Linked DNA regions of Bombyx mori. The protein of the gene in region 1 interacts with the protein of each later gene in a biochemical or structural test. Links are inferred from orthologs where the notes say so. Each region holds a gene or a part of one and is shown in the gene's direction. Other genes may lie near its edges.

Region 1 (2,683 bases):
GGTGTAATTTCTCAGTGGCAGCCAAAAAAAATTGAGAAAAAATTGTTCAATGAACAATGTCGCTTCTATGTAATATTGTAAAATGTAAAATATCTAATAATTTCATTATTTTTTTAAATAGAAATCCCATATTGGTAATTTTAAATTACTGAAAACCAATTGCCTTGGCCTTATTAAATTTTCCCAGCTACCCATTGAACAATCTGGTGGAGAGGGTAAATGCATGTACATCGATACAGAAGGAACATTCAGACCGGAAAGACTGCTGGCCGTTGCACAGCGATACGGTATGGAAGGTGCGGCAGTCTTGGACAATGTTGCATATGCAAGAGCTTATAACACAGACCATCAGACCCAATTGCTAGTGCAAGCTTGCGCCATGATGGCAGAGTCAAGGTAAATTATTTTATAATAGATCTATTTAATTGTTTTTCTGAATTTGTTATAAATTTTTTATTGTTTTTACTTGTGAATTATTTTTATACTATATATATATTAAATAATTTGATTTTCAATTAATTTATTTATTACGCATTAAAAATTTATCTTACGTGCATACAATTTTCAGATATTCCTTAATTATAGTTGATAGTGCAACCGCTCTATACAGGACAGACTATTCTGGACGAGGGGAACTGAATTCTAGACAACTACATCTGGGTCGTTTCATGAGAATGTTGCTCAGATTGGCTGATGAGGTAAGTAAATATTCCACGTAGTTTCCTATATTAATTATTTCAGAAAATACAACTGTAATTTAGTAAAGTGCTTACATAATTAAAATCGTATTGTGAACAATTTGGATTTTCTTTATAAATATTTCTATCTATTGAAACAGTTGAATAATGATTTCGAATTCAAATCACGGATGGTATTTATTTTCAAGTGAATTTTAATCCTATTATGTGATAAACGTAAAAGTTAGATTGTGTTATATTTTGAGAGGCAGTGTGTATATATTTCATGTACATGTATTTTGATGAGTTACCAATAAAGTTTCAAATCTGTCATTCCAGTTTGGAGTAGCAGTAATCATAACAAACCAAGTGGTCGCACAAGTGGATGCTGTAGGAGTTTTCAATGCTGATACCAAGAAACCAATCGGAGGTCATATCATAGCGCACGCGTCCACAACTAGACTCTATTTACGGAAGGGTAGAGGTGATAATCGCGTGTGTAAAATATACGATAGTCCGTGCTTGCCCGAAACAGAAGCTATGTTTGCGATTAGCGCTGAAGGCATCACGGATGCTAAGGAATAATAATTTAATTAAGGTGATATCATCACTGCCATCAACCTTAAATATCATTTTAAACAACGTAGTAGTGTATGTTAACAAAGAAAAAAATAAAATAAAAACTGGAAAAGAAACAATGAATGTACATAATATATATAACCACTCAAAATGAAGAAAATGGCTCTAAATCCAAAAAAAAAATATGATGGAAAAATAAGTATATTGGAACATACACTCTTAATTAATTTATATAATTTGGTAGATTATTTTAGCTCATTTAAATGGCAACATCAATTTGTGTGAATGAGCTTAGAACATGTTGGTAGCGTAGTGATGTGTGAATTGTTTTATTTTGTTAATACAATAATAACTTACGGACTTATTCATCGCGACTTATTGGACATTTATAATTTTCCAAAAAATTATAAAGGTCCAATAAAATAAATCCAATTTATAAATTTTAAGTTTATAACTATTAATATAAATAAAATGTAATGTTTGTTCTCTATGAATTCCTAAACCATTCATGCGATTGTGATGAAACTTTGTAATTAATATTGGCAATCTAGAAAAGGTTTGTTGCAGTACCAGCAACATATGACAGACAGCACGTGAATAGTTAAAAAAAATTTGTTTCTTGAACAATTGGCGACGGTTATACGTGACAGCTTTTCATTAGTTCACAATAAATCTGAATAAGACCATATAATAATATGTAGCTGCGATAACTATTATAAATAAAACCATTTCATTCATTAAATTATCACTGTTTCGACTTTATATATAAAACTATCTAGTATTTCTTTTCACAATATTAAAGGCATTTTATGTAATACCCATTCATTCATTGTATTTAAGCATTAATTCCAGGATCAACTGTAAATAAGTAGGTATGTAATTTAAAGAGAACCAGTGTCAAATAAAACTATTTTTACATTTTCATTATTTTTATTTTTTCACAAAATACAGGCTTAAAATTTGTTATATTCTATTTTCAACAATCAGTTTTATATCCGTCTAAATATATACATTCATTAATTATTCCGAGAAAATAACATTATTTTTGATACATACATAATACCTTATAAATATTATTGCTTTTATTTCATTCTTTACAATAAATAGGTTTTTGTCAAGGCTAGTGCTCTAAAAATCGTCTATCCTATTCTTAATTTATCTGAATTTTGTTACCAATAGCTATTCATATATACCCTGTTATTCGTAAATTTGCTAGAATTCAACAGTCACAATTGAAAAAAAAAAACTAAAGCGTTGACCTATTGATTAATTACGTAGTTAATAGAGCCTCTGGTCCTCAGCCCAGCTCAACCTACGTCCAACCTATTCCGTGTAATATCTTCCTGTTATTACCTAACTATACGCCTGCACTAGACCCGTCTTGATTTGCCGATCTCAGATTTACAATCGCGGGTAGGAGTGAGGCG
Region 2 (3,746 bases), on another chromosome or scaffold:
TAAAAAGCGATGTTATTAATAAGTTAAGTACTTTGTTTATCCTCCGACAATATTTTAAAAATAAACGAGTGTAAGGTTATTAAGTTGTTTCATTGCCTACAATGATAAACAGAGTAGGTAAGTTATGTTCGTGTTTGTGAACAAGAAGGCAGCTAAAGTATTAATCATTAATACTAGTACAATAAAATAAAAAGATAGAAAGCTCAACTTTGAACACAAAAGTTATACTTTCACGATTCGGATACCAAATGAATCGTCGATGATGTTAGTTAGGACACGCAAGTAGAAATACTTCTTGCAATACTTTTAAGTACACAGATTTTGTAATTGTTTTTCTTGCGGCAAAATTAGGTTACTCATTCACACTTCAATTATATTAATTTAACCGGCTCCACGACTAACACTCAAGGTTCCAACCTTGAGTACGATTAGGATTTTTTTTTTTTAAAAAAGGGTTCAACAATGAAGGGATTTCAGATCCTTTTTGATTTGATAATTTTTCTGCATTAGGTAAAGAAAACTATTAAGATGAACTCGTTTTTTTAAAGGTGGAGATTGTTCGAATCAAATTTAAGTGCAAACGGAATATGTCCCTTTTTATTGTCTTTGTAGTAGTGTTATCAACACTCGTTTTAAGAAGAATAAGACATTGCGCTCAGGAAGCATCGTACAGAAAAGTTATTTCCAAAGCCAGATGGTGTATGGCAAAAAAGATATTACATAAAGATATAAAAAAGTACTATGAATTAACTCTACTACGGTGACATGGGGTACCATGGTGGAAAAGAGATGAAATATATTATGTGAAAACAAATACCTAGTTGCTTAAATATTTCTAAATTCGGAAAAAACAACCACAATACAGGCAGCACCACGTTGTTCTGACATCAAAATTTATTGTCACAGTTGCCAGATGGGGGGGATTCCCTGCAAATTTGGGGGGTTTTTCGACTCTGGGGGAGAAAGATTCTTTGGGGGGACATTCGGGGGGAAAAAGTTAGTTGGGAGAAGTTTCGGAGGTTTTTTGAGTATCAATTTGCAATTACTATTAGAATAATTATAGTCTACTATACTATTTACAAGTCAATATTATAAAGGACAAATAATGCAACCAAATAGCAATAGAAACTGCCGAAGCGGTTCTCAGGATTCGATCTTCACTGCCAAATAGATGTATAAATTTTGTTCCCACATCGGACTTGTTAAATATCTTTAACTTCGAAAACGAGTATGCTTTAAATAATAATAACGAAAGTGAATATGATCGTGATAATTGCTTAGAGATGGTTGAAGTTATAGGGATAGCTTGATTAAAAAATAAAAGAATCCTTTTGGTTTTTTATTTCTTCTTTAAAATAAGTAAAAACTGTTTTGGGGGTTTTTTTCTTCAAAAAGCCTATTTTCGGGGGGTTTTCGAAAAAAGTTGGGGGGAAATTCGCACGGTCATCTGGCAACACTGTTTATTGTTGTGAATTTACATTTTACGTGACAGTTGTGTTGTGACTTGCATCTTATTTATTCTGCTACATTAAGTGATATTTCCTTATTTCAATAATCATCACAGTGTAATGGCTGACAAACAGAAAGTAGACCTTGGTTTGCTAGAAGAGGATGACGAGTTCGAAGAATTTCCCGCGGAAAGTACGTAAACCTCCAGATGAAGAATATTAAGAAATTAACAAAAAATGTTTTCATTCATTCTATTTTAATTCAAATTTTCTTGTAGATTGGGGTACAGAAGACGCTGATGATGAAGATGTATCGGTTTGGGAAGACAACTGGGAAGACGACGTCATCCAAGATGATTTTAATCAGCAGTTGAGGTTAGATCTTAAAGATTTCTGTTACCTTCATATGGGCCCAATTGCTGTCGTATTTGATTCTTCTTCTTAATCGCATACCCCATTGCTGAAGGTCATGTCCCTGAAAGGCCTTCGTGGCTCTTTGTACCATCAGCTTCCATTTCGTTCGGTTTTCGGCTTCTCTCAGGGCGGTCGCAACAGAGAGTTCGATCAGCGCGGTTACCTGATCCGACCAACAGTTCGGCGGCCGGCCGGCTGTCTTTTCCCTTCTACCTTGCCCACTACAGACAATTTTTCAAGGTTGTTTGGTGGCCGCTGAGAAATATGACCAAAGTAGCCAAGAACCTTTTGGTAGCAAATCGTAGACAGTATTGTTTCTGATTAAATTTAGAATAATAAGGACCAAGCTTCTGTTCTCCATTATATATTTATGCTATCTGAATAAATGTCCATGTTTTTTTATTGCTTACATGGGTGGTCAAGCTTACAGCCCACCTGGCGTTAAGTGGTTACTGGAGCCCATAGACATCTACAACGTTAATGCCGCCCGTGTAATGTCTCAGTATTGTTACAACGGCTGCCCTACCCTTCAAACTGAAATGCTTTACGGCAGAAGGGTGGTGATGCCTACCCGTACATACTCACAAGAGCTCCTATCACCAGTAAATTCTAAGCGAACACTACTGATGTGACTTCATTTAATATTATAGTACAGTAAGCTATATTTTAAGTTCTAGAACTATTTAAAACCCAAACCTTAAAACAAAATTTTATAAATTTATATTTTTAATTTGTCTCGTGCCTCGAACGCACCTAGTTTTTATTTTATTTTACAGCAGGAACATGCCTCTTGTTTGCTCTAAATATTATTAAATACCTTTATGTTGATGTTACAGCAATCAATCTTTAGTTGAAATGTCATCTAGTACATACAATTAGCATTGAAACTTGTTTCAAATTTATAAATCTTGTGTAAAAAGATAGATTGAATATTTTTTATAAATATTGATATTTCTGGTTATATAAGAGTATGCACTTAGTATCAGTAATTAAAGCACATAGAGACCATAATAGGAACTCAATTGGCCACTCTGAAATATAATACTGAAGTCTAGTTTGAGTTAGATACATGCTTTCCATAGAAATCAGCCTCCTTTAGTACATTGCTGCAGGAAGGCACGAATGGGACGATCTGCGCTGGTTTGCAATGACTCTCATGTACTGTATAATCTTTTAAGATAATTAGTTGTTGGTACTTATGTTTCTAACATTATTAGTCATTACATATGATGAGTATGGACTGCTGGAGAGCAGTTACCAAATGTAAATTATATCTGAAACAATTTTATTTCATTTCAGGCAACAACTGGAAAAACTGAAGGATCAGAAATCTTAATTTTAGCTTAGTTGTAATTAAATAATAATAAATGTGATTTTTTACAAACAGTTTTATTTTTAGAACATCCTTTGAAACATTAGTTACCTGGATACATGTTTTATTGATAGAAGATCACAGTTTATCTTGAACAGCATCTAACATATTTTGTAATGAATTGTTCAATACTGCCTCTCTCTGAATAAACCACAATGAATAAAAGTTCATAGATGGAGTGCTCTGTATTCGACTCCATTGTCCACTTTGAGATGAGTCCCAGTTCTATAGTACAACAGTCACTTTCCCACACTTATTTTTTTAGTCAAAGCTTATCATATGTTATCTCTTGAACTCATACTCTTCATTCACACAGTTAATCCAATTCTCTTTAAGACACTCCCTCCTCACCTCAAGGTAAATAAAATAAATATTAAAATTGATGGCTCTGGCCCTATCACTTGCTACTGTGTTCGAGGGAAGACTTGCATGTGTGTGCGTGCATGCAGTTTATGAATGAAAGATCTACCCTCACTGTAGCAGCATGGTTGCAACCGACACAACATACAAAT

Evidence for each region.
Region 2: the proteins of Rad51 (region 1) and 26S proteasome complex subunit SEM1 form a complex in vitro, tested with the Homo sapiens proteins (2 studies listed by BioGRID). The link is inferred for Bombyx mori from reciprocal best matches to the Homo sapiens genes RAD51 and SEM1.

What each region holds. Positions count from the first base shown.
Region 1 is NC_085131.1:10,825,731-10,828,413, reverse strand, and holds the end of Rad51 (rad51 homolog), read left to right. Parts: intron 1-187; coding exon 188-396; intron 397-568; coding exon 569-698; intron 699-1,016; coding exon 1,017-1,262; 3' UTR 1,263-2,180; downstream 2,181-2,683.
Region 2 is NC_085129.1:15,972,849-15,976,594, reverse strand, and holds 26S proteasome complex subunit SEM1, read left to right. Parts: upstream 1-1,496; 5' UTR 1,497-1,568; coding exon 1,569-1,641; exon of another isoform or gene 1,642-1,726; coding exon 1,727-1,893; 3' UTR 1,894-3,246; downstream 3,247-3,746. UniProt on the Homo sapiens protein: Component of the 26S proteasome, a multiprotein complex involved in the ATP-dependent degradation of ubiquitinated proteins.